Coturnix japonica: one gene and its partner. The protein of the gene in region 1 purifies or fractionates together with the protein of each later gene. This does not show direct contact. Links are inferred from orthologs where the notes say so. Each region holds a gene or a part of one and is shown on either strand. Other genes may lie near its edges.

Region 1 (4,194 bases):
TCCTGCTCAGTGCAGCGCTGGCGGCGTGCAGCCCCATGGAGCCTCCTCCGAGGGCTTTGGGGAAAACCCGAGGGCTGTGAGAAAGAGCTCAGCTCCCTCCTGGTGGGCAGCAGCACTTCCTCTGTGCTCAGCTCCCACCGCTTCGGTCCCGAGCGCGGCTCCATCAGTGCAGATTTATCCCCAGCATCCACCCCATCCCTCTGCTGCAGGAGCACACAGAGGGCTCCTGGACACCACCAGCCCCAGCCATGCAGAGGGGTAAATGCTCCCTGAAAGCTGTGATTTGGGGGATCAGAGCAATGGTTCACCCCTGTCACATGCTGGCAACCAGTGCAAGCAGACTGCTCCCAGTCCAACCCCAGCACCAGAGCCATCAGCACCAGGGTTTGCTCCAGCTGTGGGGATGGAAGCCCCCAGAGCCCCCAGTTTCCTAACAAAACTGAAGACTTCTTGCTAATGAGAGGTGACCACGCTCACACTCACACACCCCCTTCCCACCCACGCCAGCCCAGGTGAGCACCCAGCACCCACCCCCTCCATCCCGATACGACTTACTGAATTTCTTGAAGCCCCCTCGTTTCTGGCCCTCAGCCATGGCTGTGCTGGGTGGAGGCTGCAGGGACAAGTTTATAAACTTGAAGCCTGTCCCTGCCTGCTCCTCCCTTCCTGTCCCCCCTCCGCCTCTCGCTTTGCTCTCTCAATCACTCAGCGCTTCCTCCTCGCTGCTGCCATCTGCTCTTATGGCAGCTGCTGTCCCCGCTATCCCCTGCGGTCCCATCCCTTATTGTCCCTGTGCTCCCATCCCTTATTGTCCCTTCAGTCCCATCCCCTGTTGTCCCTGCACTCCCATCCCTTGTGATCCCTGCACTCCCATCCCATATTGTCCCTGCAGTCCCATCCCTTGCTGTCCCTGTGCTCCCATCCCTTGTGATCCTTGCAGTCCCATCCCTTGTTGTCCCTACAGTCCCCTCCTGGCTGCTCAGGTGCCATTAATGGGATTAATGTGCTTTAGGGCCGCCCTTGAATGGCTGGGTGCCGGCATGGGGCAGGCTGGCAGCTCCATGGCTGGAGGTCCCCATATGGGGCTCAGCTCCATGGTGGAGCCCCAAGGCCCCACTGCACCATGTGCTGGTGGAGCTGTGTTGTCTGTGGGGTCATTTCTATGGGGGATGCAGTGGCCCAGAGCTGGTGGGCAGCCCCAGGGCCTTGTCCTATGGAGTGTCCCTGTATGGCCACGGCCCTTCCTATGTGGGTGACACTGTGAGGGAGGGAACGCGGGCACACAGCTATAGACAGCCATAAAGCCGCAGGGTGATACGGGTTTATCCGGGGTGACAACATGGCGGCCTAAGGTGGACTACAAATCCCAGCAGGCAGCGCGCCGGCGCGCCGGAAATAGCGTAAGGCGAGAGGGCGGAAGTGAAGCCGTCGGCCGGCATGGCCAAGCAGTACGACATGGTGGAGTGCCCGTTCTGCGATGAGGTGTCCAAGTACGAGAAGCTCGCCAAGATCGGGCAGGGCACGTTCGGGTGAGCGCTGCGGGCCTCGGCTCTGCTCCCAGCCCGGGCATGGCTCCTATGGGGCCGATTATCTGCTGTTATTCAGCGTCATGGGGAACAGGCCGCGGCCTGACCCGGGGCCTTTGTGCTGTGGGGGCTGCGGGCCTCGGCCTCCTCCTTATGGGGCTCATGGGGCCTTGTTGTTGTTACATGGGTCTCTCCGTGTTGTTATATGGGTCCTTGTTGTTGTTACGTGGGTCCTTGTTGTTACGTGGGTCTCTCCGTGTTGTTATATGGGTCCTTGTTGTTACATGGGTCTCTTCTTGTTGTTACAGGGAGGTGTTCAAAGCCAAACACCGGCAGACGGGGAAAAAGGTGGCGCTGAAGAAGGTGCTGATGGAGAACGAGAAGGAGGGGGTAGGTGTGAGCTGTGCTGTGCTATGGAGGGGATGGGGTGGGGGGTGGGCTATGGAACATCAGTGTGTATTAACTTTAATGGTGTTTACTGCTGTAACGTGCCAGGTCTTGAGTAACAGCACACAGCACATGGGGGTGGGGTGGTTGTGCTGTGGGTCAATTGGGGCTTTGCCATGTGCTGTGCTCATAGATGGGAAAGGAGGGCAGGTGTCCATGTCACACAAACACCTCCACCTTGTGGCAGAATCCTAAGGGTGGCCAATGAGTTTTGTCGCCCCTGTAATGTTTTGTAGTTTCAATTACTCTTAAATGAGCTGTTGCAGTGCTACTCAAGCAGGTGTCCTGTGCTGCAGCAGTCCAATCTCTCCTGTTCTATAAGCAGATGTGAGCTGCACTCCTAACCTGTGTCTTCTCCTTTCCAGTTCCCCATCACAGCTCTGCGAGAGATTAAAATCCTCCAGCTGCTGAAGCATGAGAATGTGGTGAACCTCATAGAAATCTGTAGGACCAAAGGTAGCTGCCGGGGTCTCATTTGTGCTGTGCTGAGGGGGTGTCTGTTTTCAGCCTTTGTTCTTGGCTCAGCAGGCTGCTGTGTTGCACTGGGGGTGGATCCTCCAGCTGAGCATGTGTTTAATCTGGGGTGACCACACGCTCATCTGTGGAAACTCATTTTGAATGAGTGCTACTGTGCTGCAGCTTGGCTGGAAAAAGCTGTTGTCAGTGCTGCTGGCACATGCCTGTGCTGTCTCAGTGACTGCTGTCTGTGTGCTGGCTGAATGGCTTTAAATGAACCTGCAGCAGGAGAGAATGTGAAACAGAACGTTTTCTGCCTGGTGGTGGTTTTGCAGCTTTATGATGCTGATGCCATTGGGAGCAGGAGCCGTGTTTCTGCAGCTCGTGGAGCTTTGTGCTGGTGACAGCTCCAGCTGGAGACTTGCTCAGCCTCTCCTGTGCATGACAGAACCCCCCAGGCTTTGAGGGCTGGATTGGAAGTGCTGCCACTTCACAGTGAGCAATTCAGTTGCTCTGTGCTGAGCTGCTGTTCCATCTCATCGCTGCAGGCAGTCCCTGGGGGAGGCAGCACGTCTCTGCTGTGTGACTGATGTGCTTAATGCACCTGGCCAGGCTCAGTTTCCAGGGAAATCATTTTAAAGCATTTCCTCATTTTTATATATCCTTCTCTTATATGGATTTGTACTGCAAAAGAGGTTTGGAAAGCGACAGATGATATTAAAGCCTGCCATGCTGTAGTCAGTTCTTTTTGGTTAAATACAATTGATAATAGCACCTTTCTGCTGCTGTTTTTTACACTCAACTGGTAGGAATCTCAGGCCTAGGTCTGGGAACTTGGTGTTGCTCCATAGAATGTAGGTAACTGTCGGTTTTTGAACCAGTAGGTAGGAGGAAAAACACTGAGTTAATGTTTAATTCTTGGATTGATTAAACCAGCTGTGATGACTGCATGCTGCTGGCACGTCTCAGGTCAATATTTTTGTAGCTGTGTCAGATTGTTTGGGTCTTGTTTAAATTCTACTTTTCTACCTTGACCTCAGATTCAAGTGAAAAACAGAAACATTTCATTGACTGTTCTCAGACTTTAAGCTTTTCTCTTTTTATGTTGGAAGAGGGGTTGTGAGGACGGCACCACTGTCATGTGCAATCTAGAAAGCATCCTCCAGGCTGCATTTACTGTGCAGGCTGAGCTTAGCCCACATTTTCTGGTTCTTGCTGCTGATCAGCAGGTTTTGCTGTGCACAGCTGATCAAAATCAGCCTTTTGTTTTGGTGTTTTGCACGTGTGCTCTAGGAGCAAGATTGAAATTGATTGCTTCATTTGAGGTTTCCTGTCATTGACCATAAATTGCAATTGAAGTTGGGGTTTTAAATCATATTGATCTGCATCAGTCTGTTCTCATAGACACCATTTGAGGTTGCAGTAAACTTCACTTTCTGATGTTGCTTTAGAAATATTTGCTGTATTCCTGTGAGTCTGTCTTTGCCTGTTCCTCCTCTAATGCTGATGCAATGATTGTGCTCGGCTGTCAGCTGTGTGTGTGCACCCACGGGCTGCAGTTTGTAGGCACAAAACCCCACAGCTGTTAATACACGCAGCACAACACACAAATGAAGCTTTCAAAGACTTTTTTGCTCTTGCTTTGCCTTTCTCATGATGTTCACTACCACTCTGATCCTCATCCACTGTTGCTTGTTTTGCTGTTTTAATACCTCTTTTTGAAGGCTCTTGAGGCATCTGGAGTCCCTGTTTTGATGTTCCTCTG
Region 2 (4,149 bases), on another chromosome or scaffold:
ACTAGAGGTAAGATGCCCAGATTTAGTTCCATAAATGCAATTTCTAGTCTTACATTTTAACTCAGAAAGTTGTTATACACCACTTCAATGCCAGACTGACTGAAGTAGAACTGAGTATCTCAAACCAAGTAAACAAAGTTAAGTAACATCTCCATTACTAAACACAAGCCAGTGATGTGTGATAAAATACTCAAAATTCACTGTAGCTTCTAGTGGATGGCAAGTTCCAAAATGGAAGAGCAGCTCTGTTCTGTAAAACTTTATAGAACCGTATCAGAGCTTATGGGCTGTTCCTGGGAGACTAGAAAAAGAGAAACCCAAAACACCACACATGGGCCACTTTAAAAGGTTTCCATGATTAAGAACTATGCACTCCTATTAACATGGACAATTAGACTGTGAGAAATCCACCTTCTCTAGCAGCTAAGGTCCTCCTTCAGTTCAGAATACTTACAATAGGTCCATCTCCTCTCTCCAGGAATGGCTGATGATTTATATGCACAATAGCAGGCAACAAGTACTGTTCAGAAGAAAAAAGCCACATTATAGTTTCTTCCCAGGAGCTCAGCCTGCCTTACACCAGGCTGTACTTTCATTGCTGGATTTCAGCAGTACACCACATCATAATCACAACTTACAGACAGCGTTTTCCCTGATCCAGTCTGTGCAACTCCAACCATATCCAATCCACTCAGGGCAACAGGCCATCCCTGTGCTTGAATAGCAGTAGGCTCAGTGAAGTTCTGCCTCTGAATCACCTCCATAACATTTGCTTGAAGAGAAAATTAGAGCTTAACTCACAAGTTGTAAATCAAGACAGGAAAAAAATAAAACAATATGTTGGCCAGCACTTACCAGGAAAGTTAGCTTCATAGAAGTTTATGATTGGTTTTGGACAGTTATGGCCCCTCACTGTGACTTCTTTGCTTGACCTGTACTGCTCAACCTCTTGCTGCAAAAGAAAAACCTCATTACTGGAAACAGCTTTGGCACGGAAGTTAGTGAAGTTACTGCACGCTGGGTCCCATGACCTTAAGCATGTTTGTGCTTGTTTACTTCTGCGTGAGCTGGGTGGGTACATACCGCAGTTCGTCTGACTACATCAGGATGTTCTTGATAGAAGTTCTTCTCAAATTTGGGCAGTTCATCTAAATTCCATTTCTTTTTGGTCAGCTTTTCCCCGGGGTTTCCAAATTTTTTCCCAGAAAGTGGACCAGCTCTACTTCCTCCAAAACGAGGGGCTCCAAACCTAGAGAATATATCAATATTTAGGATCCAAGAGAAAATTTGTTCTCCTCTTGCTATTATGTAACCGCTGTCTTTGTGGTATGCCCTGTAACTTCACAGTTCAGAGTTACCAACCCCACCTATGAGATATTAAGCTTTCAAAACTTAAGTGGCAGATGCAGCAATCCACCTATCTTCACACTCAGAAGGTGAAGTAATGCATTACTTTGCAGCTCCCATAAAACAGAATGGCCTACTGGCAAGATCCAGCACAGGTAAGGAAGTAACATGAACACCGCTGTATTACTCCATGATCAAAATGGTTTCCTACCCAACTGACACTCCCATTTTATCAGCCTACAGAAAGCAGGCAGGGCTTGTTACAAAACCCGGCTACAACTTCCCTCTACGTGTTTTTACCACGTATCCAAACGACAAACTCCTCTCAGTGCCCGTGCGTTGTGAGGACACGCGTTTTCTGTTAATGTTTTATTAACCTCGTGCCCCTCTGTTCTGAGCAGCGACACGGCGCAGCCCATCCGATCCCAGCAGCCCCAAAGCGCAGCTGGACGCGGCTCAGTGCCCGCATGGAGCCCCTGGAGCTGCGCTAACCCGGAGCCGAGCGCGGAGCTGCCTCCCCCCGTCCGGCCGCAGCCCGGCACCGGGTGCGGGGAGCGATCGTGCACCACAGCACAGCGCTCCCAGAGGGGACCGAGCCGAGCGGCCGCTGCTTCCTGCCAGCGCTGTTTCCTTTGTCTCTCATTTCTGTCTACGCCACATTTTCCAGGCGCTGCCATTTTAGAGTCTGAGCTGGGCGGGGGGGGAGGGGGGGTGGAGGAGGAGGAACAAAGGCGGCAGCAGCAGCCGGCATTTTGATTTCCCCTCAGTCACCGCATGGCGGGGCCGGCCATTAACATCCGCTGACACAACACAAAGCGGGAGCCGGCCGGCTCCTGCCAGCAACAGCTCGAGCCGCCGACCCCCTTCGAGGGCAGGAAAAGGAGGAAGAGGGAACCGCCCAACCCTCAGCTCCTCGAGGCTCCGCCATCGCGCAGCGCCCGGCAGCGCCCGGCCAACCCACTGACACACAAACCTCGTCCCGCCGCCCCCCGAGGGGGGGGATGTGGGGGAGCTCCCCGCCAACCACCCGCACCCGAGCGGCTCCAACACACGCCGCCCCCAATGACTGCTCCCAGCTGCCCCGGATCGAGCCGTGAGCCGAGCTGTGAACTGAGCCGTGAGCCGAGGCCGATCCCCCCCCGCCGCCCCCACGAAGCTCCGCAGTCACAAAGCGGAGCCGCGCTCCAGGCCCAGCCCACGGGCCCGGCCGCCATTTTGAGCGGCTTCCACAGCAGCGCGCGGAGCCCCGCGGTCGCCCTGAGAGTCCGGACGCTGGCGGCGACTGGCGCCGGCCGGGCCCCCGGACTCACCCTCTGTCCCTGTCGCTGGAATACCCGGGCATGGCGATGGTGGCGGTGGGCGAGACGGTCCCGATCGCTAAAAAGGATGACGAAGGGCACGACGCGATCCGGCGCCGTCGGTGGGGGCCACAGAATGTAGAACGCCTCACCGCCCCGATGCCGGTTATATACGGCGCCGCGCGGGCTGCTGGGAGCCGGGCGGTGACGCATGCGCAGATCCCTCCCCCGTTACACAAGCGGCCCGAGCCGCCGCAATGCCCCGCCCCCTCGGAATGATTGACGGGCTGCGCGCCGGAAGTGCCCCTCCCTTGGGGGCGGGGCTTGTGCCGACACCGCCCGCTCCTCTCCCCCCCTCCCCCCCCCCCGCGGCTGCGCCTGCGCACTGCGGGTGTCAGGAGGCGGGTCCGGGCCTGGGGCCAAGAGAGGCCTCGGGGTGTGGGGCGGGCAGTGGTGCGATGAGAGGACGGCGGGGTGGGAGATGAGGGGCCGCAGCCGTGTGTGGTGATGCTGTGTTAGATGCTGTGTGTGTGGTGATGCTGCGGCCCCACAGACACTGAGGAACCACCTGGGGAAGGTCTCAAGGGCTCCGAGCGATAAACGGGGCTGTGTTATCCAAATAAACGGGGCTGTGTTATCCAGTCGCTGTGTTATCCAGTCATCGTTACTGGAAGCCCCGCTCTCGCTTTCCGGGCGATTAAAGGAGTTAGAGGCGCAAATCCTCGCGGCCTTCACAGGTTGGCCACAAATAATCAGGAGAGCAGCCGGATTAAATGCTCTGCAGCGCGCTCATACCCTGCCCTTACCCACTGCACGCTTCCAAGCTGCACATACCTGCATTGGATACAGTTACTATTAGTCACTATTTTTACTTTCCCCAGCCATTCAAAGGTCACCAGGAGTGCAGCAGTGCACGCAGGGACAGCGCTGACAGCACAGCAAACATGGAGCAGCTGACGTGGCTGCTGCGCTGCTTATCTGCCTCCTTTGGGAGCCCCAGGAGGAACCAACAGCTCACACCTGTGGCTCTGGGCACAGCAACGAGGTGAGGCCTGGTACATAACAGCTCTACTGGCAGCCCAGTGCACACACACCATAAGGAGGGAGAAATGCCTTCACACTCCATTTATATCCTCCCACCTCCTCACAGAACTCACGGTCTGAGGTTTTTCTGAAACAAAAATAACAAGAGCTGCGTTTAACAGCTACACACATTGTGTTATATCCCACTCCCAGCTCCTCACACACCATGCACTGCATTTCAGTTTAACTGTACACTATCTGAATAGCATTTACGATTCAACACCCCCTCCTGATAAGAACAGGGGGCCCAAAACGAAGCGAGTTATCAAAATCAGTGAATCGTTCACTATTTATTTATACCTTTTGTGTATATTCCTACCATCTGAATCACCTCCCTTGTCAGCCAAAGCTGCAGCCTACCTTGTTTTTCCTCCTTTATAAGCACTTATAACAATCCCTGCCTCCACATTGACAGTACACT

The links. Proteins that work in one complex are often made in the same cells at the same time.
Region 2: the proteins of CDK9 (region 1) and DDX5 purify together in Homo sapiens (affinity purification with western blotting; 3 studies listed by BioGRID, with this or other methods). This does not show direct contact. The link is inferred for Coturnix japonica from reciprocal best matches to the Homo sapiens genes CDK9 and DDX5.

Annotation. Positions count from the first base shown.
Region 1 is NC_029532.1:3,652,311-3,656,504, reverse strand, and holds the start of CDK9 (cyclin-dependent kinase 9), read left to right. Parts: upstream 1-1,394; 5' UTR 1,395-1,437; coding exon 1,438-1,529; intron 1,530-1,834; coding exon 1,835-1,916; intron 1,917-2,338; coding exon 2,339-2,429; intron 2,430-4,194. Other genes in the region: SH2D3C (SH2 domain-containing protein 3C), read right to left, coding at 556-595. UniProt on the Homo sapiens protein: Protein kinase involved in the regulation of transcription.
Region 2 is NC_029533.1:7,249,813-7,253,961, reverse strand, and holds the start of DDX5 (probable ATP-dependent RNA helicase DDX5), read right to left. Parts: upstream 2,801-4,149; 5' UTR 2,690-2,800; coding exon 2,658-2,689; intron 1,250-2,657; coding exon 1,084-1,249; intron 953-1,083; coding exon 856-952; intron 773-855; coding exon 639-772; intron 521-638; coding exon 455-520; intron 2-454; coding exon 1-1. UniProt on the Homo sapiens protein: Involved in the alternative regulation of pre-mRNA splicing; its RNA helicase activity is necessary for increasing tau exon 10 inclusion and occurs in a RBM4-dependent manner. Binds to the tau pre-mRNA in the stem-loop region downstream of exon 10.